Rattus norvegicus: one gene and its partners. The protein of the gene in region 1 interacts with the protein of each later gene in a pairwise test. Links are inferred from orthologs where the notes say so. Each region holds a gene or a part of one and is shown in the gene's direction. Other genes may lie near its edges. The genes, in order: Atxn2, Rbfox1 and Sh3gl3.

What was found.
Region 2: the proteins of Atxn2 (region 1) and Rbfox1 interact in binary tests that used the Homo sapiens proteins (3 or more experiments, as listed by UniProt). The link is inferred for Rattus norvegicus from reciprocal best matches to the Homo sapiens genes ATXN2 and RBFOX1.
Region 3: the proteins of Atxn2 (region 1) and Sh3gl3 interact in binary tests that used the Homo sapiens proteins (3 or more experiments, as listed by UniProt). The link is inferred for Rattus norvegicus from reciprocal best matches to the Homo sapiens genes ATXN2 and SH3GL3.

Annotation. Positions count from the first base shown.
Region 1 is NC_086030.1:40,502,729-40,512,608, reverse strand, and holds the start of Atxn2 (ataxin-2), read left to right. Parts: upstream 1-3,177; coding exon 3,178-3,368; intron 3,369-3,405; exon of another isoform or gene 3,406-4,070; intron 4,071-9,880. UniProt on the Homo sapiens protein: Involved in EGFR trafficking, acting as negative regulator of endocytic EGFR internalization at the plasma membrane.
Region 2 is NC_086028.1:8,992,924-9,002,865, reverse strand, and holds the start of Rbfox1 (RNA binding protein fox-1 homolog 1), read left to right. Parts: upstream 1-3,474; 5' UTR 3,475-3,703; coding exon 3,704-3,790; intron 3,791-9,942. UniProt on the Homo sapiens protein: RNA-binding protein that regulates alternative splicing events by binding to 5'-UGCAUGU-3' elements. Regulates alternative splicing of tissue-specific exons and of differentially spliced exons during erythropoiesis.
Region 3 is NC_086019.1:145,530,650-145,540,591, forward strand, and holds the start of Sh3gl3 (endophilin-A3), read left to right. Parts: upstream 1-4,105; 5' UTR 4,106-4,239; coding exon 4,240-4,284; intron 4,285-4,362; exon of another isoform or gene 4,363-4,542; coding exon of another isoform or gene 4,543-4,581; intron 4,582-8,258; exon of another isoform or gene 8,259-8,344; coding exon of another isoform or gene 8,345-8,353; intron 8,354-9,942. UniProt on the Homo sapiens protein: Implicated in endocytosis. May recruit other proteins to membranes with high curvature.

The DNA of each region.
Region 1 (9,880 bases):
AGCACTGCTTCAAATACTAGACTTGTTACTTATTTTGGTTTCTTTTGGAAACAGTGTTTCACATGGCTGGTAAAAATGGGTTAGTTAGTAGCCAAGGTTGGCCTTGAACTGTTTTCCCTCCCACCTCTACCTCCGAAGGGTTGGGATTCAAGGCTTGCATTCATTTAAAGATGTAATTTTTTTTTTTTTTCTTCTAGAGCTGAGGCCTGGATCCAGGGCCTTGGCTTGCTAGGCAAGTGCTCTCCCACTAAGCTAAATCCCCAACCCCTCAAGGTTTGCATTCATGTCAGGTTTCTTCAGGCTAACTTTATAAAGGCCCACTACATTTAGGAAGACTAACTTTCCCTCTCTCGATGTTCTTAGGAAATAACAATAACAATTATTTTTTAAAGATTTTATTTATTTATTTATTTATTTATTTATTTGTTTGTTTGTCTTTTTTGGGGGGCTGGGGACCGAACCCAGGGCCTTGCGCTTCCTAGGCAAGCGCTCTACCACTGAGCCAAATCCCCAACCCCTTATTTATTTATTTTTTATATAAGTGAGTACCCTGTCACTCTGTTCAGACACACCAGAAGAGGGAATCAGATTGTGTTGCAGATGGTTGTGAGACACCATGTGGTTGCTGGGAATTGAACTCAGGACCTCTGGAAGAGCAGTCAGTGCTCTTAACCGCTGAGCCATCTCTCCAGCCCAACCTTTTTTAAAGTGTTCGCCAAATGTGACAATTTTTTTTTAAAGATTTATTCATTTTATTATATATAAGTACACTGTAGCAGTCTTCAGATACACCAGAAGAGGGCATTGGATCTCTTTACAGATGGTTGTGAGCCACCATGTGGTTGCTGGGAATTGAACTCAGGACCTCTGGAAGAGCAGTTGGGTGCTCTTAACCGCTGAGCCATCTCTCCAGCCCCAAATGTGACAATTTTTATTTGGGCTATGAGGTTAATTTAATTTCAACTGGACTATACTAGTGACTCTAATACGCTGAGTTTTTCTTTTTAATTATTCATGGATGGACCAGGGGTGTAGAGCTGGAGAGCCACCACTACGCCTTAGGCTCCCTTTCTAAAACTGACACCCCAGATACATTTTTCTTTTTTTAAAAGTCATATTTTTGGCTGGTCACAGTGGAGCAGGTCTTTGATCCCAGCAGGCCGGTGGCTCTTATGTGAGTTCCAGAACAGCAGGGCTACACAGAGAAACACTGTCTCGAAAAACCAAACAAGAACAAGAATGAAAACCACCACCACCAAGGTCATACTTATTGCTTATATATGTGTGGGCACACAACTGGCACAGTCCAAGAGAGGAGATCTGGGGACAATTCCAAGGAGTCAAGTTTTCTTCTTCCACATGTGATCTCCAGGGATAAGAGTTAGAAGGTGAGCTTCTTCCGCGGCTTGGGCCTTTACCTTCTGAGCTGTCTGCTAGCTACTTTTTAATCTATGTAGACCCAGCAAGTCTGGAACTCAGAGATCCAGTATCTGTCCAGTGTTGGGATTAAAGCCATGTGCCGTAACCAGGGTTCACTGCTCATTTAATTGTCCTGGGTCTCTATTTTTTTCTTTTCTTTTTTTTCGGAGCTGGGGACCGAACCCAGGGCCTTGCGCTTGCTAGGCCAGCGCTCTACCACTGAGCTAAATCCCTAACCCCTATCCTGGGTCTCTTGTAGGTTAGCCTGGCCTAGAGAATTCCCTTGTGTAGGTGAGGATGACCTTGACCGGCTAATCCTGCCTCCATTTCCTAAATTCATACATTAAAGGCATGAACACCATGCCTGCCTTTAATTCCCGGGAATGATTTTAATAGATTGACTCGGATTTTGCTGTCCTCTGCCCATCATCCCCTTAAGCAATTTCACTTAAAAAAACAAAAAGAAAAAAAACCCAAAAAACCAACTAAACTCATTGCAAAAAGTTACCCATTTGCTTCCAATTTAATTACAACACCTTAAAAAAAAAAAAAGGGCTAGTTTGGTGGCCTTCCCGAGTTAAAGTAAAACTTTTTAAAAGGGGTCAAGGTCTAAAGTTGACATTTTTGCGAGGTCTCCAATGAGGGAGACCCCATTATCCACGGTAAGACCCCCATTACCCAGCTCTACCAATCACGTCCATTTCCCTTTGGAGTCGCCTGAAGGAGGAGTAAGACGTTCCAGTGAGGGGAAAAAAGGGTTCAAATGAAGGTCAGATACCCAACAGTTCGCTGGGGTGAATAAAGTGGGGCAAAGTGAAGCAGCTGGCGGTGGCTTCAGTGGTGGCAAGCTTCCCACGCTGGCAGGGAAACCAAGCACGCAGTGGCACCTGGGGGCCTACTGTGTGCCAGGCCCGAATGCAGGTCTCCGCCCCGAAGGCGCCCGCGGGCCATCCTCTATGTTGCATCTGGTGGGGGGGAAACCAAGGTCCCCGAAGGGGGCTGAGGACACCCGGGCAGCCCACGGTGCCCGTCCGCGAAGCAGGGCCAGCGGCCGAAGACAAGCATTCCCTCCTCGAAGGGCAGACCCGCCTCAGCGAGGGCGGATCCCCCACGGCCCTACCCCGACCCCGGAGAGCGAACGCGGCCCAGCGCTGCGCCCGCTCCTCACGTGTCCCCGATCGGCCCCCGAGCCGTCTCACGTTCGACTTCCGCCTGACCCTTCCGACTTCCGGTAAAGAGTCCCCCCCGCTCTGTTTCGCATCTCCGCGCCCTCCAGGCCGCGTCGCCCCGTACGCGTCCGCGAGCCCGGCTCCCATGCGTCCGTCGACAGACGCCGCTCAGCGGCCCGCGGCAGGCCCCGAGCCGCGCCGCCTGTCGGGCTGGGCCGCGCGGCGCTCGCTCCCGCGGACGGCGCGGCGCGGCGGGCGGGGCGGCGCGGTAGCATATCCCTCCGCCGGCCCTCCCCCGCGCGGCCCCGGCGCCCCTCCCCGCGGGCCGCGCTCGCCGCCCTGCGCCTCAGACTGTTTTGGTAGCAACGGCAACGGCGCGTCCCGGCCCGGCTCCCGGCGGCTGTTCGGTGTCTGCGGGCCTCCCCGCCCCTTCGTCGTCGTCCTGCTGCCTCTGGCACCCGCGACCGCGCCAGCCCGCGCCTGCCCGCTCGGCGTCCGCGCGTCCCCGCCGCGCTCCGGCGTCTCCTCAGCGCGCCCGGCTCCCGGCTGTCCCCGCCCGGCGTGCGAGCCGGTGTATGGGCCGCTCACCATGTCGCTGAAGCCGCAGCCGCAGCCGCCCGCGCCCGCCAGTGGCCGCAAGCCCGGCGGCGGCCTGCTCTCGTCGCCCGGCGCCGCGCCGGCCTCGGCCGCGTCGACCTCGTCTTCCGTGGTGCCGGCCCCTGCCGCGCCGGTGGCGTCTTCCTCGGCGGTCGCGGGCGGCGGGCGTCCCGGCCTGGGCAGGTGGGTGTCGGCTCCCCAGCCCCCTCCGCGCCCGCCTGGCCGATCCCGCGCCGCTCGTCCCCTCCCCCGCCTCGCCCCGTGACCGGCCGGCGTAGCGATGGGCCGGGGGCCCGCGGAGGGGCGGGAGGCGCCGGCAGATCCTTCGGGCTTCTCAGGCCGTGTCCAGCCTCCCGCACCATCGCGTCCCCTCCCCCCAGACGGCCAAGATGGACGGCCCGGGCGGCCCCCTGCCCCTCGCGTGTGTGCTAGGGGCGATTGGTCTCCCCGCCCCACCCCCTTGCTGGGTCCCCTGCCTGTGATGGAAGAGCGGCTGAGCCAGGGTGCAGGTCGCAGGGGGACCCTCTCCTGAAATGAGCCTCACTGCTGGGTGGGGAGTCGGGAGGGAGGAGGGGAGATTGAGGCCCAGCCGCCCCAGGTAGGGTCAGCCGGGTGTCCTGCATATTCCCGCCTCGCAGACCCTGGGAAGGTGGGCGACCGAGGCGAGGTGGGTGGCCAGCGGCCTTGCGCACCCATCCCCCTTTAGATCTGGGGCGGCGGGGTTCCCGCAGCGGGCTGTCCTCCCCCAGCTGGGGAAGGGGTGGGAGTGCCCTGCTCCCTCCAGGCCCGCCTCCCTCCTTCCCCGCAAGGTCCCCTGCGCGCGGGTGGTGGCCGATCCGCATTGCTGTTTCTCGTCCGCGGAGCAGAAGGCGCCTTTGAATAGAGGTGGGCGAGGGCCGGACTCGAGAGGTGGGTTGGCGGCGGGCACCGGACACGCAGCTCATTTTCCCTCCCAACCCCTGTCCCAGTTCCTGAAATTTTTAGGGGTGAGGAGCCTCCACAGAGGAGTTGGTGCGGGTCCCGAAGGCAACGACGCGAGTGTTGGCTTGCGCCCTCGGCCCCCTTTCCCCTTCCCTGGGCCCGATTTCGTTGGTAGGAGCTGGAGGAGGCTGGGTGCTGTCCTGTGTGACTGGGCTTGACTCTGGAGGGTGTGTGCGCGCGGGGGTGGGGAGGGGTGGGGGTGCTTGTCAGTTCGTATTTCACGAACTAAGAAAATGCTTAGTGTTAAAACGGAGAGGCAAATGCCAATAGACTCCATTCCATTGTGGCCGGTGTCCTTAACTTGGGAAACGCCGCCGCCAGAGCTTACCAAGGGCATGCAAGTCCATTTCCCCTGTGTCCCTGTGTAACAGGCACTACTGTGCCTCCCTCTGGCCTAGGCCTGGCTGGCAGGGCCTCCTTAAATAGACATCCAGGACTTAGGAGGTGGGCAAGGGGAGTTTTCTTGTTTGGAGTTTTCTTAGCCCCATTGTCCAGCTGTCCATTTCCAGAGAGTTCCTGTACAGCAGAAGTTAACCCGCAGGGTGAATCAGAGCCGGGTTTTAAGGAGTTCTTCTGGGAACAGTATGTGTTTTACTTTATTCCCCCACACTCCCAATTTTCCCAAGCATGAGGCCTTTCAAACCCTTCTTAACCCGCCTCGTTCAAATTAAACCATCATTCTATTTCCACGGTTCTGCGAAGTTAGGGTTTGTAACTTGAGTTTCTTTTCCGTCCTTGACTTTTAGTGAAAAACGAAAAAATATTTAAATTTAACTTTAAGGATACATGTTTTTCTTTGCTTTTTTCATGTTTTAATCTTTGGTTCTCAGGAAGTGGCACGCATTTACGTTTTGTTCAAATACAGATTAAAGTTCCTGAGCCTCGCTTACTCTGTAGGCTTAAACATTAGACTGTGGCTGGCTGGACTCCACAGGGAGGGGCAGGGTATTAGGACCCCTGTCAGTCTCTGCTTTTGAGGCTCTGCAAAAGGGAAGGGCATTTAGAGCCTTCCCTGCTTTAAGTTCTCTTACTTGGCGCATAGGTTTCTTTTTAAGTTTCCTTCGTCCAATGCCTGTGCTCAGAATGGGTACTTTTGTTCTGTACAGAACCTTGGTTAACGCCATCCTCCTGTTCTTACTCTCCTCAGGGTTGTAAATGCATTGTAACTTGTAGAGTTTTGCTTGGGTTTGTGTGTGTCATTTTAAAGTAGGGCTGGCAGCATGGCTGTGGAAGGGCTATGTAGCATCGGGTGGTGGGGTGGCTCAGTGGCCCTTGCGGCCAGGCTTGTCAACCAGGATTCCCACACCTCTGCTGCCACAGCAGGAAGCAACTGACTCCTGCTGCAAGTTGTCCTCTGACCTCCACACCTGCCAGGGCATGTCCCCTCCTCCACAATAAATACACTTGAAAAGTGGCGTTGATGTTGTCATGTTTGAATTAGCAAAATGCACTTTACTGCCGCCTTAAGCACTGTTTCCTTTCTGGACCCTCCCCAACCTGGAACCCCAACCCAGGCCTTGTTTTTGCTCGAAAAGGATTTTGCTACTCAGCCAGCCTGGATCTGACTTGATTTTTGTGTGAACAGAATTTTGTGTGATTTTTGAGAACAGTTTTTTCCCATCATCACTTAGAGGCCACTTTCTTAGAAAAGAACCGTATGTGATCACTTTTTAAAAATCTTACCACAGTTGCACCCGAATCTACTTACTCTTGACTTTGACCTTTCGTGACGTCGTGCTCATGTGTGATGCAGCCTTCTTCCCCTTTAATCTGGTGACTTTCTTTTTTAAATAACTTATGCACTGAGCTAAGTTTCTACCCAACGGCTGGGGCTTTGCTCTTTGTGTTTGTGTTTTGTAGTGGTGGTGAGGTGAACTTCTTCACTAGAAGCTTTTTGCTTCATCCTAATTTTTCCCTAGAGAAAGTGGTGCCCAGGAGTGGTTTCAGTAGGTCAAGGACTCTAAGGTTTTATGGCTCTCATAAGCTGTGCCATGTTATTTCTCAGAAGGCTCAGTGGGTTCTGGAGCCAAGAAGGCAGCTCTTCAGGGGTGGGCTCTATGTACTTGTTGGATGCTGTGGGGGAGTGTTGCGTGTAACATCAGGGTCCCTCACAGACATGGCTTTCCTGTGTTTCCTGGTCATGGCTGTCTTTAGATTTATTTTATATATGTAAGTGCTTTGCCCGTTTGCATGGTAAATATACTGTATGCACGTCTAGTGTCCACAGAGGCCAGAAGAGGGCCCTGCATTCCCTAGAACTAGAGTTACAGACATCTGTGAACACTGTGTGGCTGCTGGAATCCCTGGGTCCTCTGCAAGAGTAGCCAGTGTTCTTCACCCCTGAGGCATTCATCCTGTCCCTCTTATTTCTTTTTGGATTTTCAGATTGTTTTTCTGTATATGAGTGTTATGTGTGCATATTAAAAGTGCCTGGTGCCCACAGAGGCCAGAAGTGGTCTCTGGATCCCTGGGATTGAGTCAGGGAGAGTTGTGAGGCCACCATACAGGGCCAGGTTCCTCTGCAAGGGGAACAAATGCCAGGCCTGGTGCCATACGCCTTTCATCCCAGCACTAGAGATGGGCAAGTGGATCTTTGGGGCTCGAGGTCAGCCTGGTCTCTGTAAGGAGGAGACTTATAAGTGCTCTTAACCACTTCAGCCCTTGTATTTGAGTTTTACTTGAGCTTTTTTTTTTTTTTAAAGATTTATTTATTTATTTATTTATTTATTTATTTATTTATTTATTATAAGTACACTGTAGCTGTCTTCAGACACCTGAAGAGGGCATCAGATCTCATTACAGATGGTCGTGAGCCACCATGTGGTTGCTGGGATTTGAACTCAGGACCTCTAGAAGAGCAGTCAGTGCTCTTAACCACTGATCCACCTCTCCAGCCCTTTACTTGAGCTTTTACTCAGACTGTATGTGAAGACGCTTTGGAGCCTGTAGTGTACACTGCCAGTGCAGATCCAGGATTTCTGAAGGAACTGTTCTAAAACTTTCAGGCTGTTCAAAAAAACTGTTAGACATTTTGTGTTATTAGCTGTTAGTTTATGATCACTTTTGGGGAAAACAAGTTAGCTGGTGGTGAAGTGTGTGGTAGGATTAGCTGAAGGAGGTTGAGGCAGGAGGAGGATCATGAGTTACAGGCCAGCTTGGGCTATACACATTTACAGTTTGGAGGTGATGTACACCTAACATTCTAACATTGGGGAAGCAAAGACAGGTAGCCTGTTGTACAGAACAGCCAGGGCTACACAGAGAAACCTTGTCTTGGAAAAAAACCAATTTGTTGTGCATACCTCTTGTCTGTCTGGTGCCTATGGAAGTCAGAGAGGAGGTCAGATGCCCTAGAACTGTAGTTAGGGTGGTCAAGGGATGCTGGGAACTGAACACAAGGTCCTCTGCAAGGGCAGACAGTGCTCTTAACCGCTGAGCCACCTGGCCACAACCAACCATGTATTTATTTTTTTGAGTTCAGCTTTGTTTTTGAATAGCAGGGGAAAATGACCTTGAACTTTTGGTCTGACTCCCTAGCCCCCCACCCGGCTGTTGGAATTGTAGGTGTGCACCTCATTTATGCAGTGCTGGGGTGGTCATTCAGGCTTATCTGCATGCTGGGCACACATTGTACCAATGTAGCTGCATCCTATTTGGTGAATCATGGGTTACTTCATAGAGAGGGTTTAGTGGTGTGATGGACAGCATCCGCTTTGCTTTCTTTTAAGATTTATTTTATGTATATGGGTACACTGTCACTGTCTTCAGACACACCAGAAGAGGGCATCAGATCCCATTACAGATGGTTTTGAACCACCATGTGGTTGCTGGGAGTTGAACTCAGGACCTCTGGAAGAGCAGTCGATGCTCTTAACCACTGAGCCATCTCTCCAGCCCTTGTTTGCTTTCTTTGTTTTGAGACAAAACTCTCACTATTTGTAGCCTTGGGCTTCAAGGCATGTGCCACTCCTGGCTTATAGGTTAGACATCTTTTTTTTTTTTTTTTTTTTTTTTTTTTGGTTCTTTTTTTCGGAGCTGGGGACCGAACCCAGGGCCTTGTGCTTCCTAGGTAAGCGCTCTACCACTGAGCTAAATCCCCAGCCCTAGACATCTTTTTAAAAGTACTTTTTAAGATTTATGTGTGTATGTGTGACCTTGTGTGCTTGTGTATCACATGTGTGCAGGAGTCCTGAGGAAACCAGACAAGGGCACTGAATCCCCTAGAATTGGAGAGAGGCAGTTGTGAGCTGCTGTGTGGGTACTGTGAACTGACCTGGGTTTTTTGGGAGCTGGGTAAGCATTTTTTTTTTTTTTTTTTGGTTCTTTTTTTTCCGGAGCTGGGGACCGAACCCAGGGCCTTGCGCTTTCTAAGCAAGTGCTCTACCACTGAGCTAAATCCCCAACCCCATGGGTAAGCACTCTTAATGAAGGAGTCAGCTCTCAAGTCTGACTTGTAGCCTTTGTTGTTGTTTTTGTATTCTCTTTCAGAGAGGATATCTTACACATTTCTCACAGTCCTGGTTGTCACTGTGTAATCCAGGCTGGTCTCTTAACTCACAGAGATCTATCTGTCTCTGCCTGCTGAGTGCTGGGATTAAAGACAGGCACTATCAAGCCTGGTTTAGTTTTGGGTTTCTTTGTTGTTGCTGTTTGAGACAGGGTTTCTCCTTGTAATAGCCCTGGCTGTCCTGGAACTTGCTTTGTAGACCAGGCTGGCCTCCAAGAGATACGCCTGCTTCTGCCTCCTGAGTGCTAGGATTAGAGGCCTCTACTGCCCAGCTTGCCTGGGACTCCTTGAACAGGCAGTGTACATCTTCTTGCCTCTGCCTCAGGCACCATGGCAGGCCCCACATCTTTTTTTAAATGTAGCCTAGGCTGGCCTTGCTTCAGCCTCACAAGCACTTTTGGGAATTCAGGTATACCACCATCCCTACACTTCTCATTTTAAACACTTTACTTTAAAATTATATTTACAGGGTCCAGAGAGATGGTTTAGTGGTTAAGAGTACTGGCCGGGGTTCAGATCCCAGCACCTACATGACAGCTTGCAACTGTCTGTAACTCCTGTTCCAGGAGCTCTGACACTCTCTCTCACACATGCAGGCACGGCAGCAGTATACATAAAATTAAAAATAAATTTCATTTTGAAAGAGAGCGAGAACGTTCTTTAATCTTTCGGCTTTGTTTTTCGGGTTTTTTTGGCTTCATTCTCTTAAGGCACGCATCTTAGAATTGTCCATCGTGCTTCCATGTAAATGTCAGACATCTCTGTAAGTTCACATCCCCTCAAGTGCTTACAGCACCGCACAGCATAAATTGTTGAGTATCTGTCTGTAAGGCAGTGTTAAGTTATTGGGTGTACTCATGTCTAAAACAAAGCTAATTGCTCTCCTGGAGTTCACATTCCTCTTTTGAGCCTTGACGGGTGGCCCTGTGTGGCCTGGACTGTCCCATGTCAGCCCTGCCTTTCTGGGATTGCACGTGTGGACCGCCACACCTATTTTGCCTTAACTGAGAGGCAGGCAGCAAATAAGCAACACACCTGTGGACTGGGATTAGAGGAAGCAGATTAAGGGCATAGAGAGTTTGAGGAAGGGGATGGATGCAAGTTTAAGTGGATTAGATGAGTCTCCTTGAAGAGGTAACAGGTCAGATCCTTCACCCTTAAATCTTAGTTGCAATTCATAAGGTTAAAACTGGCTCATTTTGTCATC
Region 2 (9,942 bases), on another chromosome or scaffold:
TGTAAGATGTACTTTGGGAAAATTAAGCAGTTGTTAGAAAAAAAAATGAGGCTTCATATAATTCACTTAATAGCGGTAGTTCGGTCACGATTTTTTGTTATTGGCTTAGAATACTGTAGGGATTGCAACCATACCAGAATAATGTGTAAGTGGAAAGTCAGAACCAGAGACAATGGCGGTCACTGTGGTCAGGACTGGCAGTTGTTGGGATAGGCAGCTGCGGCCCATAAAGGCTGCCAGGTGGAGAATATCCCATCCTGATTTTCAGCATCCCATTGGACGCTAACTTTCCTGGCAGGAAAAGTGAAAAGAGTTGCCTTTGAGAGGTGAAAGAAGATAGTGGCAGAGACGGCAAATATTTTATAGCACAGTTTCCTCAAAAAGAAAGAAGAAAACACCATATGTGTCATCAATAGCTCTGTCACTCTGCCCCTTATGTGACACATTCCCATGTCAACTGAAATCGAACTAGCAGGTTCCTCAATAAAACTGTGGCTATACATGAGTGATCCATGTGATAATATGCTGTATTTGTGTATTAATTTATTTTTATTTTATTTTCTGTGTAGGGTTTGCCTGCATGTATGTGTACCATGTGAATTTTTGGTGCTCATAAAGATCAAAAGGATTGGAATTGGGGATCATTGTGAGTCACTGTGTGGGTGCTAGGGTCATGCTCTGGGTCTTCTGTAAGAACAAGTACCCTGAATTGCTGAGCCATCTCTCCGGTCCCAATTTTGCTGGTCTGTCTGTCACATTTATACAATTCCCAAGTTGCCAAAGCACCTGCAGAACTTTGCCCTCACACTCTTCTACATCTGTGTACTCAAGATGTACATACGTCAGTTTATGCTCTAAATGAATAAGTTGTGCGTCCTGCTTTCTGCCACCACAGCTTTTGCACTTTATAATACCATTGAGCTGTAATTCAGTGTGCCTGGGACCTTCCCTCAGCACTGAGGAGTGCCTCTGTGTCTTGGTTGTCAACGGGAAGTCAACTAGAAAACATACCTGTTTCGGGTAATGTGTCTGTCCTTGCTGCTAACTTCTCAGAAATCTGGTTTTGAAAGTCATGGTGAGAAGCTAAAGTTAGAACCGGTATTGGGCAGTCTTATGAGATGGGTCAGTGTGCAGCTGTTCCAGGAGCTTTCGGGATTGCACAACATGGCCACTCCGATGCATGTGAATCAATTACAGAGAAACCTTGTCAAGATGGCCAAACCTCCAGCCTTAAATAATTGAATTCTCTGCCAAACCCTGTCTGCTGTCGTTATCTAGAAATGTAATTATGTAGCTAAATCAAGCAACTAAAATTAGTGTAGTGTAAAAACACCTTGGCTATCTGAAAGTGGACGAATTGACATTGGGCTTAGGGAAAGCCAATAGTTGGGTATGGTGTGGTGGTGTCTGAAGTTCTCGCTCATCATCATTTTGACAAAATCTATATTGTGCATCCTGTTGAGAGAGAAAAGTGGTTTGTGGCAAGGGGGTGTCTGATTTGAAGGTGACATTGTGTGTGTGTGTGTGTGTGTGTGTGTGTGTCCAGAAGTCAATGTCTGGTAACTTCTTACATTCCTTTCTTTATGTTTTTTGAGACTGTGTCTCATTGCATACAAATGTCACAGATTCAAGACTAGTTGGCTATGAGCCCCAGGGATCCTCTGATCTATGCATAATGAGTGCTAGCATTGTAGGATGGTCCTACCATGCTTATCACAGAGGTCTTGGGTGTCTGAAGCCAGGCCTTCGAGCTTCCTCAGTATTTTACCAATTGAGCTATCTGCCAGGCCCTATGAAGGCCATCTTCAATTGTCTTCAGCCCTTACTTCATGAGAGTTCCAGATTGCTAGTTATGCCCACATATTTCCTGGTATGAAAAGTGGGAACATGCCAGTTGATCATCATCTGAGCCCTCACATCTGAAGTCAAAGATGGGTGAATACCAACTGTGAGGGGAAGAGCAGAACCGGTGGTGATTAACTCCCTCTATTGCACACTGCAAGGAGGTGACGAGATATTCTGACATTGTTACATGCCCAAATAGATCTGGAGTCTACGAGGCAAATGAAGTTGCTCGAGACGGTAGAGCTAGGAAAGGGACACCCCAGCTTTCACTTTGCATACTCCTCAACACCTTTCATCTCTGAAAGCGAGGGTGGTGGGAGGGAATTCATCTTTGTTTAATATATAGCAGATTCATGTATCACAGCTGGGACACACATGTAAAAGCCATGTGAAATCCCTTCACACATGAACACAGCACCAGCAAGTCTGCACCTACTCTGTGGCCCCCAAGATAGCTAACACATTTCTAGATCACAAGTCACAGTGCAATCCAGCAAGACAACTAGGGATTGTGTATGAGGTATTTTAAATTCAGCACTGCCTCCTACTGGCTGCAAAGTGGCTGACTAGCGTGCGTTCGGGTTCCTCATGGTTACTTGGCTTCCTGGGTCCGGGATTAGCCCCTGCTTCAGAGATGTGGAAGGACTGAGTGCAATAACCCACAAAACTAATTTACTCAGACTTCTGCTATTATTTCCTTTTAGCTATGAATTGCCTCTTCAAACTGAAATCGAGTGAAAAAAGGGGAGGAAAGTGAGTCAAATATTTTGAGACAGTTTCGTGTAGCCCAAGCTCGCCTAAAACTTGCTATACAGCTGAGCTCCCGATTTTCCTATACCCACCTCTGAGTTCCAGGACCACTGAGATTTGCTACCACATACTGATTATTCTTAGGTAATTTTTGATCAGCTGCCCACATGAACCTGCTACCTTTGAGTGGGTTTTTTGCTGTCATTTTTCTTGTTGTTGTTCTTGTTTCTTTGTTTGGTTTGGTTTTTGTACATAACTGTGGGGGGATGAGTATAAGAATGAAAATGTATGTGCAATGTCGAAGGGTGATCTCCAGGTATCTTCCTTTATTGCTTTTTACTTACGTAAAGAGAGGGTCTTTCACTGAACCACTGAATGTGGAACTTTCTGTTCGGCTATGCTGGCTCACAGGTGAGACCCAGGATCCTCCTGTCTCCGTCTTCCCAGTGCTGGGAATACACGTGTATGCCACATTGCTTGACTTCATACACGGGCATTGGAGATCCAAACTTGGGTCCTCATACATATATGATAGTCCATAAGTTTACATAACAATCAGTTGCAATTTAGAACTTAAACTTAGGCTCCGGTGATGGTTTATATAGGTAAAGATTTAAGTTTTCTAAGTTGAAATTGATTGTCCTGTAAGCTTACACATTTCTATTCATTATTCTCTCTAAAAATCTCATGTAGACCCAGCCCCTTGCAATTTGGCCCAGTTCCTCAGGACAAATGTCTTTTCTTTTTCCCTGATTCCCTGTCACTCCATCTCCCTCGGTCTGAGAACTAAATTAATGAAGAGTATTTGGTTAGTCATGTTGGGCGAGCTGCTCCCAAAATAGCTCCTTCCATTTTGGTAGCTCCGACCCTGCAGCTGCCGCGTCCCTTCCTTGTCTGTGAAGAAAACTTTCACATTAAGAGTTGCTGATGCAGGATTTTCTTTCCTTTCCCCTCTCCGCCGCCTGTGGATGAGCACTTGGCTCCTGACAGAAGCGATTTGGCTCTCGGCTTTGTAGTTGAGAAGAAGTTGGGTCTATAGATTTCTTTCCCCCTCTAACTCTCTATTGATGTGTTCAGCCTTGGAGGGAATAAAGCCTCCATTTAAAGCATGTTGGCGTCGCAAGGAGTCCTTCTGCATTCTTATGGCGTGCCTATGGTTGTGCCTGCTGCCCCCTTCTTCCCGGGACTGATGCAGGTAATTCATGGCTTTTGCCAGCAAGCAACTTAACTCCAGAGTGCTCTGAGTAATAATTGGAATTTTTATGGTTGAGAAAGCAAACACTTTTAATACAGGAAGAGAAAAAAGGCAGCCCTCGTGTAGTCAAAGGAAAGACAGTAGGAAATCAAAAAGATGGATCACCTTAATCTGGCTATTGACATCTCTCATGGATGAATAAATGGTGTAGTTGAGCTGTATTTGCTTGTATTGATCTGGGTGCTGTTTAACATTCATGCCTCTGCTTCGGGAGGTTGACCAGGGGGCAAAAGATTTGCTCTCTTCCCCAGCTTTCTGAGGGACTGGGTCTCCCAGAGCAGATCATGAGGCTCAGTAACTTATCATGTTGTGGCTTGCTTAAAGGCTTTAACCCCGGAAACCGAAGGGCAGGAACTACAGTGCTACGGAGGACACCCCACACAGGTTGTCTGTTTGCAGAGAGGCTCCCCCTTCTGAATCTGAGAGGTGACCCACAAACAAGAGAGAACATTGAGAATGGTTTCTTTAGGAAGTTCAGGGGTGACTCTGGAAACCCCATGCCAACTGTTCTCGGCAGCCAGGGAGAAGTTGGAATGCCTGTTGTTTTGACTGCTAAGGCTATTATTCTGTGTGCCGAGAGGTTCATGTGCTAGCGAGAAATTGGGACCTGTTTCTTTGCCTTATTGTACCGCCGTGCTGTCACTCAAACCCGTTGCTTCTGGGTGTATGCCTGCAGTTCTCTGGAAAGCCGACATCCACTTGTGATAGAAGTGGGTCATTGTAGGAAGCAAGTGGCTATTTGTTGCTGTTCTTTGGAAATAACCAGCCCTGGGTAATAAATTCTAAATCTCCTTTCTGTGGGAAAGGAAAATTAAATATATGCAGGACACTTTAGCTTCTGTCCTGTCGTACTACCCCTACCCAACACTCTCTGTTTGAGAGTTCTACAAGACCAATTCATTAATGACGACTTCTGCGGAGGATCCCAAACAAATATTCTTCTTGTTCTGTGACTGTGACTGTGACTGTGACTGTGACTGTGACTGTGACTGTGACTGTGACTGTGACTTTTTATTAACTGTCAGAAGCTGGGTGGTGGAATCTATCCAGCAGTTAGTCCAGACAACACCAGAACTGCCATTGACCCTGGATGTATGCTATTGCTACACTTCTATATTATAGGTAAATAGGCCAGGCAGAGAATAGTCCTGACAACAAGGAAAAGAATTTGTGGCCAGATGGTGACATGAGACTTGGGACGTGAGGGTGAAGCAGAGTTACAGTGCTTTTTGCTTCTGTTGGAAATTTGGGGTGAAGGTCAAAGGCTGGAGTTTTGTCGGCCCCTGTGCTGCCCTATCCGATAAATAATTACAAGCAAATCGCTCATTTCACTCCATGCTGATTGATGCTGAAATTGCTTTTGAAAGTTCTCATAAGTTCCTGTTATAGATTAAGTGCTGGTGCAGGAGAATAACGGTACCCACCGAAATGGGTGAATGTAATCAGGTTTAATGGACTCGAGAGCTTGTTGGGAATTAAATAACTATCGATTTGCTGGGATGTTTCTGTCATTACAAAATGCCACTCTGAACGTATTACCCCAATGATAGATGAGAAGACGCCAGAGCCAACAGAGAAGCTGGGAAGGCACTATTTCTTCCTCTTTGGCAGAATGTTCGAGAAACATAACTGGTTAGTTTGGAATGGAACAAGTTATTTTACTTGCAAATGTTAACCTGATCCATTCTCATTTGTTTCCCAAATGAAAACTTCTGAACTAGTGACCTACAAGCTCTTCTGAGTGTGTCAGTGAGGAGCCTCTGATGAGCTACTGGGACCCACTCCACTGCAAGGCTGTGCACATGGAGGTGCTAGCCGTCTTGCTGTTTGTGGAGGCCACACCACTTGACTCGAAGAAACTACAACACCTCCCATTGCAGTTCTGTTCATAAGAAAAGGATGTGGTGTGATAGAAAGGGGTAGGAAAGCCTAGCTCTCCTTTCACCTTCCACTTCCTGCCCTAGCTACCTTGGCACTTAGCCTTAGGGAGTTTCACCCAAGTCAAGAATAAAGACCCTTCTGCCAGGATTCAAATTTCTTTAGAAACTTAGTAATGTCAGCAAGACAACTAAACTACCGGGAGTGTGGACTCGTCCTTGCTACGACCCCTTGTGCTTGTATATTTGGGAACAGCATCAGTGGTTATGTGCAGGGGCCTCTGGCAAGCTGCTTGAGGTACTGTTCACAATTTTACAGTCTTCCCAAACACAACAGTCAACAGTTCTGTGGCCAAAGATATTCTGTTTTGAATTGATATCTGAGACACTTTTGAAATGTGGGCCGGCATGGCTCATTTTTTGTGCAGTTAAAGAAAAAATAATTTGCATCTTTAAGTTTTAAGAGAGCACCAGACTCATGCTGCAGTCAGTGCTTACAGATGCACATTTAGTTAGGTCCCTCTCATGGACTCTTCTTTAAAGTCAGTCCCATAGTTAACATGAGATTTCCATTGGTAGGTTTCCATTACTCAGGAAAGCCAGTGTCTACCATATTGTATCCCATTCACCCATTATCTTATGTCGAAACTTATCCAGTATGCAGATAAATAAGTATGATTGCTTGTTTTGTTTTCCTCTAACTACATAGATAATCACACAATGGCTGTAGAGATTGAGGCTAAACCAGGTTGCATTGTTTCACAGGTACTAACAACTCAAAAGGAAGCAGGGAACAAAATGATGCTATTGAGCACACAGTGCAGCCAGACCATGAGCCCAGTCTTGGTGTCTTAGGGTGAAAGACCCAAGTAATTTCCTTGGGACCTCTCTTTTGTCTTGAATTCCAAGTGCCATCTTGGTTTACCACTGAGTTGACTGAGCTACTGTTATTATAAGAGGTCAAGGTCGTTGGCAAAGTCACTCTTGAATCCAGATGCTAACAACAGGGTTTACTTAAGCCATGGACCGTGCTCATACAATGACAAATGATAAAATCAGAACAGGGACTTCATAATTCATTTGTGTGTTTGCTTAGCCTTTGAATACAGTGTTTCTCGGCTTTGTGGAGCAAGCATAGATCTATAGCCCTGATGTACATATCTGCCTGGACATATGACTGAAGCAGCCTCACTCCTAAACACAGTGACTCTTTTGAGGTCCCTGTACGCCTCAAAAATGATGGCTTCTGAAATGATATCATTTGCAGGAAAATGGATAGAACTGGAGATTATCAGATTAAACAAGATACAGCAGAATCAGAAAGACAGAGATGCCTTCTCTCCTTTGCGCATCCTAGATTATATGTATATGTATGTATATGTATGCATATAGTGACATATGCATACTGAATTAAAAAAGGAAATAAAAAGGAAGGACATGTCTGTTCCTAGATGTAGTGAAGGAGAAAGTCTCCTATAGATAAAAGGCAGAGAATAAACAGAGGCAAAGACATCTGGGAGAGTCCAGCGTGGACATGGCCCTGAGCCAGAGAGTTAGGGGAGGTGTGGAGGGGGAGGGGGACCAGGTGTAGCAGCCAAGAGGGCAAAGGTTATAAAAAGGGTGAGTATCCAAAATGGCTGGATTATATAGGGAAGAGCCTCAGGAGGAGGGGCAACCCAGCCCCTGGGCTGGAGAGTTTGGGGTAGAGGACAGAGTATGCCAGCCATACCTTGTAACAGGTAAGGAAGGGACTGTGGGATCCTGGGAGAACCTAGCGGCCAGGTTTGCTTTGATATATTAAGTAGGCACCTCAGCCATTTGTTCCAGGGTTTGACGTTAAACACATAAATGTACACACAGGCATAGGGCATAGAAGTGGTAATGAAGCCACCACGAAAGGGATTGGCTCTAACAAGAGTGGAAGGGAGGGGAGAGTGAGTGGATAGATATCATCACAGTACATCACATACTTGACTGAAGATGCTTGAAGCCCATCCCTGTGCATGCTGACACACAGTATTGCTTACCTGGTAGTACAGAAAAACAACCAACACACCCTTTAAAGAAAGGATGGTACCATATAAACACGCTTTCCTTCTGGAGTTCTTAGTCTTATTAATAAAAGAATTTAAAAGGGGACTCAGAAGGAATCTCCAGGACAGTGTTTACCAGGGTTTGAAAGAAAAACAACAGGATAGGTTAAGTTGTGAATCTGAGCAGCTGCTGGCTGGAAAGAAATGCAGAGGGAAAGAGAAAACCCCATCTTTTGAGTTGAGGTCCTTGGAAGTTGGTATGTTGAGAAAAGGGGACAGCAATCAGCTGCCTGATGGGAAGGTGGGGTGGACAGGAGGGGAGCCAGTGCCGGCCTTCAGAGAATCCATGAAGAAGCCCAGAATGTCAGGGAAAGCTTGCTTAGGCTTTGGTGGATTGTTCAAGAAACGGTGGAAAGAAAGTTACTCTTTTCTGAGCAGCTGATACAATCTGGGAGGGATCAGCACATTGACTTATTTAAGGATAATCAGTCTGATTCTTCTTAAGTCCACTTTCGGTTGGTGGGGTGGGCTCCTGGTCAGATGACCTACAGGCCCACTTGGCTTGAGTTGTAAAAACAGAATGAAGATAGAACATAAGGCTTTGGTCCCCAGGTCTCCACCCAGAGGTGGAAACTTAGATTCTGTGTGGCTTTAAGGAAGTAACTTTTCTTTAGCAGGCCTCAAGGAATTCTATATAGCTCCAGCTTTTCACATGGTAATTTAAATCCCTAGGAGGGCTTCCATTTATAGAGTTACCTGAGCAACAGGAAGGTGGGATCCATCTGCAATGGCCTCCTAGGCTGTGAATATCTGTCTGCCTACCAAACAAATGAACAGATCACTAAGCAATCCTGCTAAGATTTTATGCACTACAAGAAAAGATTCTGTCTTAGAGAAAGAGTAGGGAACAAACAGTCTTAGGAGTCTCCCAGGTGTCCGTTCACCTATAGATCCTTGTAAATCCACTTTTGTCAAGCCCCAGGAAGGCAAAAATAACAGCACCACCATCAACTTGCTCATTCCCAGCCTAGTGGAAGAAACAGTAGACCATTCCTAAACTGTAACAATAGCGGAAGGAAGTTCGTGTGTCCAGAGCTAATGTCTTAGAGGTAACAGTAACTTAATTTTTAATGAGTAGTATTTGTTCACCAACCAATACTCAATTCCAAAAAATTCTCAATTCCAAAAAGTTCTGAAACCAAAAGGGTAAGGCCTAAGACCAAATCTCACCCAGGAATAGTAAGGCTTGACTGGAAATGGCAAACACGCAACTATCCCGTCAGCATAATATTCATGTATTTGCTGGGGGAATGTTTATGAGTTGGTGCCAGGGTGTTGCCCCAGACTCTGCTGACCTTTCTGAAAACAGAAAATAGCACAAAACAACAATGCAAGTTATGACAGGTGACTCCAGAGTTCTCTGTTTGGGAATCACTGCCGTATATTTCAACTCACCTTTTGTACATGGAGAATGTGGTACACAGAGAGTGAGAATAAAAATACTGAGGTCCCAAAGAATATCAGTGGTGGAGTCCAGATTTAGACTGGCTTTGCTGAGCAAGCACCTTCTCTTCTACTGGGAGATCCAGCAGTAAACAGAAGCATACACTGGGAGTCGAGAGAGGGAGGGCACATGCTTGTTAGGTGGACACTTCCAATGACCGACGTGGGACTGTAGCTGGATAAACACCAGTTGGCTCTGTCCAGAGACTTTGCCAGGCTGAGAGGAGAGCGTCCTTGGTATTTTTGCCATCTTACTTGCTCAGTGAAATATGATGGCGTTCCCATTCCAAAAGGGCAAGATGTAAGCCAGAGAAGCTGGGAGGAGCCTCGGAAAGGAGTCTCCCACACTCTGAACTTGTTGCTGGAGGAATGGGCTCCTGTAACACTTTGCTGTGGATCTAGAACAGTGGTTCTCAACCTTCCTGAGGCTACAACCCTTTTTAATGTTGTGGGGATTCCCAACCATAACATTATTTTCATTGCTACTTCATAATTGTAATTTTGGTGCCCTTATGAATTATAATGTAGATAGTTGTCTTTTCCCATGGTCTTGGGTGACTCCTGTAAAAAGGTCATTTAACCTCCTCAAAGGGTTGCAACCCACAGGTTGAGAACCATTGATCTAGATGGTAAATGTCCAACCATGGAGTGTTATTCACTCCTCACCATTCTTTACCAA
Region 3 (9,942 bases), on another chromosome or scaffold:
GGAGAAGTCAAGGACCATGAGGAAGACACCAAAGGAAACACTGAAATGTACAACATAATACAAACCCAAAACGAGAGAATATAACTTCTTCTCAGGACCTCATGGAACCTTCACCAAAACTGGCCATATAACAAGACACAAAATCAGCCTTAACAGATACAAGAAGATTGAAATAACCTCATGCATTCTCTTAGGTCATTGTGGATTAAGGCTTGACTTCAAGAACAACAAAAACAACAGAAAGCCTATATACTCATGGAAACTGAACAACTCTAGTCAATGATAACTCAGTCAGGGAAGAAATAAAGAAAGAAATTAAAGACTTTTTAGAATTCAGTGAAAATGATGGCACTTATGGGATACAATGTAAGCAGGGTTAAGAGGAAAATACATTGCACTATGTACTTTCATAAAGAAATTGGAGATATCCTGTACTAGCAACTTAGTAGTACACCTGAAAGCTCTAGAACAAAAGGAAGCAAATGCCCTTGACTCTTAAACAGGGCATATTGAAATGTTCTGTACCTCAATGTTTTTATACTTGGCTCATCAATGCCTAGAAGATATTTTGTTCTCCATTGCTTTGCTAAAGATGTGCTTCTGTCTATTGTTTCTTATATCTGAGAGTTTTGCTTTAAATGCTTCAAAGCAATTGCATTCTTCCAGTTTTAGACTGTCATGTCGTCAATCAAACATGAGAATGTTTGCTCCTTTTATCCAAATAAAAGAACAATATCATCCTGTTAGCAGTTCTTTTTATTTCAATATTTATATTCCAACCTTTTATATATGCTACATAGATCTGAATTGATGCATTATTTTTATTAGTGGCTATTAATTTTATGAAATAATAGGTTTCATTGTAATATTTCATAGATGTGTAAAATGTACTTTGATCATATTTATTCCCCATTACTCTCTTCAGTAGTCAAGGGTATTTGCATATGGCTGCTGAACAGAAGCTATCCATCCTTAGGTAGATGAGGGGTAATGATGTTGTAAAGGGCAACCCTTGAGATGACCAATGTGGTTTAAGCTAACTTGCAAGGCAGGCCTAGCAAGGTAGATTAAGACTTGGTTAGTATTTCACAACATTAGTTAGGATGCTTTCTTCCCTCTCCATCTCATCTACCCAGGATCCTTTGAGGTCATCACCCTGACATTAGATAGATGTGAGTCCACATGACCAAACACAAGAGCTGTCAGTACCCACAGATTCCAAAGCTGGTGCACAGACAACATACAGAAATGTGGATGCAACTAACACAGTATTCTGTGCACCAGGGAGGAGTCAAGGAACATGGGAAAGATGCCTAAGGAAACACTGAGGCATACAACATAGTATGGGTTATCTCAACGAGGTGCCATAACCCTAGTAAGTGCCCAAACATCTTCCAGTTCATAGGAGTGCTTGTCTGTATCTCAAGACTCTTCTGACTCCATCAGAACGATATTTCACCTCTTGCAGATTCAGTTTAATAGTCAAAGGCATGTATGTACCTCTTCTCTGAATGGAGGAACCATAGGCATGTGGGTGGCTGATGGGTGATGATTTTGTTAAGGGAGAGCCTTGACATGGCCAAGGTAGCTTAAGCCCCTTCCTTCCTCTTCCCCCTCTTCCTCCTCTTCTTCCTCCACCTTCCTACAACACAGGGTCTCATTATGGCTGCCCTAGAACTCAATCTGTAGACTAGGTTGGCTTTGAACCTGCGGATATCTGCCTACCTCTGCCTCCTGAGTGTTGGGATTAAAGGTATGAGCCACTACTCCTAGCTTGAATCACACAATTTCAAACCTCTGCCATACATATGTAAAGTGTAAAAATCTTCAAGATGCTATTTGATCACAGTAGCAAAAGTCTAACATACCTTGACTTAAAAGCTCTTAATAACTCAAAAGTAGTTTGAAATTTTTTTGAATAACATTTGGACCAAAAAGAAACCAAACGAATGGCCAAAAATTATTTTTATAGAACAAGTAAAACATCCATGTTGTTTATAAAGACAAAGCACAAAACCCAAGCCATTGTTAGTTCAATATCTGCTTATTATAAAGTAACAAGAATAAAAATGAGTAAACCATGTAAATGCGTCTATAATGGAAGGATCCCTGAGTTTAAAAATGGGAAGGAACAATCTACATGTTCGCATTTGAATAAACCAAGAAGAGAGATTATCACAAATGACCACATAAGGAAACGCAAATATGCTATCGTAATGGTGAATTCTCATCGTCAACCTGACAGGATTTGGAGTCAACTAGGAGACACATTCTGGATGTACCCATAAGGGAGTTTTCAGAGAGGTTTGGCAGGAGGGAAAAACCTCCCTGAATGGCTGCCATGATCTCATGGCTGGCGCCCAAGACTGTACAGGAAGAGATAAAGGAGATAATAGTTGGGTGGCAGTGTGAACCTCTCCCTGCTTCCTGACTGTCGATGCAGTGTGACCTGCTGTCTCGTGGTCCCTATGCTCCCATGGCCCCCAATGGAATCTGCCCTGTTCCCTAGGACGGAAAGTTCCCTTCAAATTGTGATTTCCCCCTCAAATCAGAACAAGCCAAATGAAACCTGCACAAACCTAATAAAACTATCAGCCATGAAAAAAAAAATTGCCAATCACCAGCTTTGAAAAGAACCTGACTCCTAGGGGGCACAGGTTTAGCCCGTGCTGTTTAAACTTCTATCGGGTACAGAGGAGGTCAGCAGCGAAACATAGATTAGTTCAGGACAAGGGAGACCATCTTCACCAAAACCTGTTTAGTGTGGATGGGACAGCAGTGGTGACTGGTCATTTTGCTGTACTATTCTGACCCAGTGGTCATCCACCATCATCACATCATCTACCTCTGTCTGATGTCAGCAAGCCCTTGGCTAGCTAGGACCAAGAGTGTTGAGTCACATTCAATAACCTTGTCCCATGATGCTTGTTAAGGTGTCCACATCTTCTCTTATATCACAGGCAGGACACTGTTGACACCACACTTTCCCAGCCATTGTGAGCAAACCTAGGCACAGAGACCTGCGAGTCCTCACCCTGTCACATTAGGGTGAAGCTATGAAGGGTCAGGCAGGGCTGGGAGCCAGGAGCTAATGGTTCTGGAGAAATGCTAGAGCCAAAGAGAAGCCCGGATACAGGTGTGAACTGCGAGCGTTGAGGACAACAGTAGTGTTGATGACCCCTGACCCGACGTTGGGAAGCGTCCACAGAATGCCATTCCTTTTAGGTAGAGACTGAAAGTTGGATGGTGTTTGTGTTGGTGTGAAGCATCGCTGAAGTGGATTGAAGGCATTGGGAGCCACAGGGCCTTTGAAAGGTCAGATTCAGGGAAAGTAGACTTGTTGGTGGCACAAGAATTGATGCAAGGTCCGTTTCTGTGACTGGGTAGACATACTGTTCAGTAGGAGCTCTAGACCCTGTGGAAAGGGTCCGGTGTACAGGACTCTCCCGAAGACCAGTCTGAACAATACTCTGGTAAGTAGTGGAATGGAAGACCCTCTTTCTGGCACCTATAATGGACTGGTTCTTGGTGTAGCCGATAAGAGGCTCAGCACACCTATGAGACTAGTACTGAATTTATTAAGTAAACTACCAGGTAACTCTCCCAGGGGGGTCCAAACCACTCAGGCAGACTGTGCCTAAAGTACATACCTAACTGTCCACAAGCAGGTTTCTCACGTCTAACTATAGTTCCGGGTTCCTGTGGTTCCTGTGATGTTTCTCTACTTGAGATGCACATCCCAGCGTTCCTTCCTCACAACACACATCTAAACTAGCAGGGCCGGGGTTTGGAGAGGGGAGATCTTGCTACCAGTGAGTAAAAGCAGGTTTCCCACCAAGACCCTGAAGAGCAGAGAGACCTCTCGCCCAGAACAATTGCAGAGCCAGCTGCATCCCAAGCCCTACAAAAGAAGTCCTGAGAGGCTGGACAACCCAGGGCCAGCCTTTCCACTGGTCCTCTTCCTGGCTCAAGAGATCCTGGTCGCCACGCAACAATGAAGCGTGGGCGGTCCCAGCAGCTTCATTTGCATGCTGCCGCGGCTCGACCAATGAGCTGCGTTGGGGCCTCGAAACACCGTGTTGCTATCTGCGCGCGCGCGTGTGCCAGTGTGACAGCGCCGTGGCGGTGGCCGTGGCCGTGGAGCGCGCGGCGACCGCCCGGGGTGCCCGCTCCGCTCAGCGTCGCGGCCGCGTGGCCCGGCGGAGCCCCGAGACCACCCCCGGGCGGGGCGCCGCCGCGATGTCGGTGGCTGGGCTCAAGAAGCAGTTCCACAAAGCCAGCCAGGTAGGGAGGCGCGCTTGAGGGGTTTCTGGAGGCGGCGTCTCCAAGGGGTTGCGGGCCATAGACTCGGGGTCTCCACAGTCCTCTTTCGGTCTGGGTTTCTGGTCGCCTATGAAGGCGCGGGGGCGGGTAGCGGTCGCGCGCTCTGGGCTGCGCGTGTTGGTGCCTCCTCCCCTGAGTCTCGGGTCTCCCGCTGCGCCCTGGCGGTTGTAAATCTGACCGGTTCGGCTGGCAAGGGATCGGAGGTGGTGGGCTTGGGGGATGAGCTCCGAGAGGAGATCCTTCGGGACCAAGACCGTGGTAGGCCTCCCTCCTACCCGAATCTCCAGTCTGTCCGTTGGGAAACCTCCCCCACCCCCATTCCTCCGGACGCTGAACTTGCCCCCTGGCTGGGGCTGGGTAGTCTTTCCCGAGGTTGGGACTCATCGCTGTGGTCCTTCCCTTGCTGGCCGTCTTCACTGGGTTGGCTGGAGGTTGGCACCAGGTTCCTGCTCTCAAAGAGAGTGTGATGAGGAGACCCAAAAAACACACGTAAACAAACCGTGCTAGACACACCTCCGCGGAAGAGAGTGGCAGGTGACTCTGGGAGCTTAACGGGAAGCTTCCAGGAGGTGAAGACATGGCATTTGGGGATTAAGCTCCAGAAAGGATTGTGGCTATAGACTGTTATAAGAGGAGGGCTTTCTGAGTAGAAAAAGCTGGAAACAGGGACACAGGAAAGTGTGTGTGTGTGTGTGTGTGTGTGTGTGTGTGTGTGTATCACAAGCAAACTTGCTTTCTAACACTACTCTAACAGCAGTGGTAGAGCCCATGTTGTAAAAATCTGTTCACTGGCACCTGCGGAATTTTTTGCCCTGTCTTCATTTCCTTCCCAGCCTCAGTTTAGCTAGAACCCAGGTGGGCCAATCGTATATGGAGTTCACATCGGTGGCCATTCCCCATTCCTGCTCTTCCCTCATATCGATCTTGAGATTGCAGCTGGCCTTAGGAAATTATTTTTCTCTATTCCAGGCGGAAAGACACTGCTAGTCCCCCAGTCACAATTGGTCCACAAGGAAACTAAGTGATGGCTGTTCCCAGCAGGAGACATAGGGCAGACAGTGATGCTATTCAGGGTGATAGAAATCCTGGAGGAGGGGCATGCTGGGTGAGAGTAGAGATGCTGGATTCGCTCTTGGATCTCTAGTACTTAAAAACGCCAGTGGGATATTTCAGTTGTCATTTGCTTTTGGGCTATTGGCATATCCTACTCTGGAGTCTGCAAGTAGTGATTTTGGGGAAATTCCAATTAAAATGGACGTTTTAAAATGGGAGAGAGGCTAGTGGAGTCACACACAGTAGTATTTAAAGAGAAACTCTAGGGGACGCCACTCTCACCACAGGCACTGGCCACACTTGGACAGTGCTTAGCCCAGTGCTTGCTGGGCAGTGAGTACTCCATAAATGTATGTGTAATAAATGAACAATAGTGAGGTTCAGAAGGAATGACTGCTATCACAAGATCATGAGAGGGGCGGGGAGGAGTCGAGTCATACAGAGGGTGGGTAAGCTGGCAGCTTCTACTTCTTTGGTAATGCTGGAGCAGCTAGGAGTCCCAGAGCCTCTGTGAGCTATGCCATGCTTGAATAACTGCTGGCCATGCTGTGACATTGTCTTCCTTAGCCCTGGCAGGAAATAGGGCCCTTTGTTTTACACGCACACACACATATACACGCACACACACACACACACGCACGTGCACACACACACGCACACGCACATGCACCCCGCTTCTTGGATATGAACTTTATAGGAACGGTCTTGTGATCACCCAGACTGAGCCCTAGGCACTTCAGGATGGCTTGTGACCGTGTTGCAGAGTGGGTGATTGAAATCCTTGGATGTTATTGGAGTTGAGGAAGTCTACTGTGACAGGAGGCTTAGTTTGATTCCTTCTAACCAATCAGTTCAAAATAACATGAGACCTTCCAGGGACCATCACTGTCCTTGGGGGCAGGTGTGTTTCTACCTAGGCTCTAAACCTTTCCTTCCTATCTCTGACATCATTTGTACTTCTTTTGAAAAGAGAGGCATGCAGACTCTCTCTGGACTTATTACTGTGTGGTTAAAGTACCTGACAGATAAGTTTCAAACCTGTTCTAGATATTTCCATACTTCCTGTTCTTCTCTTCCCCGCATCTAGATCTTATAGAGCCCAGTCTAGCCTCAGACCAAGCATGATCATAAGCTTCTGAGACCCCACTTCTACCTCTCCAGGGCCGGGGAGACAGGAGGAAGCACTCAGCATAGTTTCGCAGCTGAGGACTGAACCCAGGGCTTCATGCATGCTAGGCAAGTGCTCTCCTATCTGAGCCGCATCCCTGCTCTCAGACTTCTAGAAGTCTTTCTTAGAAATTATGCAGTGCAACCAGCTTGGAGAAATTAGGTTTTGTTTAATTTAATACAAGGGAGCAGAGTAATAAAAAATGCCAGATGTTCTCAAACAGCATTTCCACAGCGGGCTTTAATTCACTTGGAGCTTTCCTGGGGCAGGGAAAGGGAGTCCCGAATGACATCAGTGGTTAATAATTCCAAGGGATTCAAGGCTGGCTCCTTGCCATGATCAGTTCTGCGACCTTGGAAACGTGACTTAACCCAACTGGGCCTCCTTGGCTTTCTCTCTGTATGATGAATGAGAGGATTCAGAGGTCAGGTTCCTGTGATAAACGTGATTGGGCAGTGTCTGCAAAATTCTGAATATACTAAAAGAAACATTGGATTGCATGCTTTTAACTTTTAAAAGGTGTGTGTGTGTGTGTGTGTGTGTGTGTGTGTACTATGTAGTGTGTGGGTGCCTGAGGAGGCCAGAAGGGAGCGTTGGATCCCTTGGAGCTACTAGGGTTCTAGGTGGTTGTGAACCACTCAGTCTGAGTATTGTGAACTGAGCACTGTACTTACTGTGTCCACTGCACTGGAAGAGCTGAGAGCTTTTAATCATAGAACCATTTCTCCAGTCCCTTGATTGTACACTTTAAATAAGCTGCATAGTATGTGAGTTTTAAGTGTTGCACACACTCACACACATATGCAGACACATGCATACGTGCATACATGTACCCACACATGCATACACACACTCACAGACACATACCTGCACGTGTGTGCACACACACGCACACAAGAGAGAGACCATCCATGCATCCATCTAGACTCTGTGTGTGTGTGTGTGTGTGTGTATGTGTATCTCAGTTCTGAAATTCTTAAATAATTTACTTAAAACGTTTCAGAGAAAGACAAAGACAATAGGGACCTTTTACAAGTCAGGGAGTCTGGAGCATGGAAGGGTAAAATGATGGGATGTCCTGGCTGACTGCCCCCTCCTTTCCTAATCCTTCTCTGTCATTGAGGAACAGAGCCCTTTGCTTCCCAGAAGATGAGCTGTCAGCTCTGGAGATGATGCCTCATTGTGCCAGGTTTCTTGAGTTTGTCATCCAACACTTTTAAAACTCTTTACCGAAGTTTAAAATAGAACCAGTTGTTCTTCCTCAGGGATGTGAGTGGAGTTGGTGGAAGGAGATGCAGAGGTCAGGGCTGCCACTGTGCCTTCTTGCTGAGTACAACACATGAGCAGTAAAGATGCGCTCTGGTGGTGTGCCCATGTGGCCCTTCACTGAGTCTCACTGGCTGTGCTTTATTTCCTAGTACTTTCTCTTAACACAGTCACTGGTGGTGCTCAGGCCTGCATGCTCTACTAATAGACACGTTCTTTTCATTCCAGGACCTTCTGACCTCCTAGGGGCTTGGGTCATGTTCCCGAGAAAGTCCAGGGACCAATGTCATTTCTCCTCTCTTCCTCTCCCGAGTCATGTAGGCTCCATGATGAATTTACGTCTTTGTGGCTTCTATGCAACAGGACTGACCTGACAACATAGTAGGAGATGAGGAAGCCCTTAAGTTAGCGTTTTAGTAACGCATTCTCTCTCCTTTAATGCATCAAGTTCAAAAAGGCTTCAGGGGCTCTGACATATGCTCTGCAGACACTGCCTGTGAGGCTGGCCATTTAAGGACATTGCTTCAGAGGAAGATGGCCCTGGTAAGTGATTAGCTTCTCTAGGGAGACAATGAATGTCTTTTGTTTCACTTTCTCATTAGAGAAAAGATAAAAATGCACTTTGCGAAATCCATAATGATTTATTTTTTTCTCTTAGATGCATTGGAAAAAAATATCGAAGAGAAAACATTCTTGCTGTCTTTTCCCACAGACTGCTTGACAAATGAATCCATAAATCTGAACACTTTGGTTTAAAAGCCAGGGTCCTAGAATAGATGTCCAAACCAAATTGATTAGGAGTTTTTTTTTTTTAAATAACTGAAAGATCCAATATAAGGCAAACAGTTTTTACATTTTCTTCTAGAAAATAAAACTATAACTCAGGGTGTCCTTTGGGATTTAACTTTAAAGCACACTGGAAATGAGAGTTACTCCCTGACTAGATGACATTTTAGCTTTATTAAGTACTTTGAATACAATTGTATTTCCCACAGGAAGTATGTGGAGGGTTGTGTGCCGTGTAGGGACACGGTGACCCAGAAACTGAAGTTGTTGGTAAGTAGATGGACACAATGCTTCTCTAGTCAGCTCAGTGGCAGGTAAAATGGATGTGGATGTTGGAACTCAGCAGAGTGTGGCCAGTTAGATTCTTTCCACCTCTGCGTTTCTGACACCCAGGAAGTGCCATGTTGGGCCGGGAGGGGTTCATCATGGAGCTGCTTAGATGCCTGCGTTCCCAGTGCCTCTCTGAAGCAGCCTCTCATAGGCCCAGCTCATCACCCATGGTGGTGTCTTTCACTCAGCTCCTGGTTCTCTTTCCTTTTCCAGACAGTTCGAGTGTGATCCCTAGTTCTTTATATAGGTGAGGGTGACCTTGAACTTCTACCCTCACTACCACAGTGTCGAGGTTGTAGGCGTGCGCCATCTTGCATTTTCCTGGGAGCTCCTGCTTTTTAGTGATGATTCTTGTTGCTTTCCCGGGTTGCTCTCTGCCCTTTGGTAGCAGAGCTGGGGCTGTCTCAGGCTCTGTGACTTGCATTCATGGCTCTGCTCTAGGCCACACTTCAGTAGACCAGAGGTCCTGTTTGCTCATGTGTGGGTGGGGTTTTTTGTTTTTTTTTTCCTCTGCTTCTCTTGGTGTAATAAGGAACAAAATACAGGTGGCTAGTTGCGCCACAGTGCCTCCAAAACCTGTCATTTTCATCACTGCAGGGGCTTTGGTCCTGTGGCTGCATTCCTCTTCAGCATATTTCTTTGTTCTCGAGTCATTTTAATCAGCATGGAGATATGAGTTCTCCTATCTCAAAAAAGACAAAATCCTCCTTTGGCCGAGCCTCTCCCTCCACTCTTTGCCTCACTCTCTTATCAGCAGGTATTCACTCTCTCTTGGTTTCTGTCACACATTTTCTTTTCAGCCCATTCCAACTGAGCTTTCTCCTGTGCTTTGAAGCCATGCATGTTTTGGTCTTAAGTGTCCTTCGGTCTGATAGCCACTTCCACACTGGAACTCTGGACAGCATTTGACGAGTTGTCTGAGAACAGCACCTGCCAGAGTTCCTCTGAGTTTAATCGGCCAGTGGCTCCCTCCAGTCTCTGTCAATGGCTTTTCATCCCTTGACGGCACAGCACTG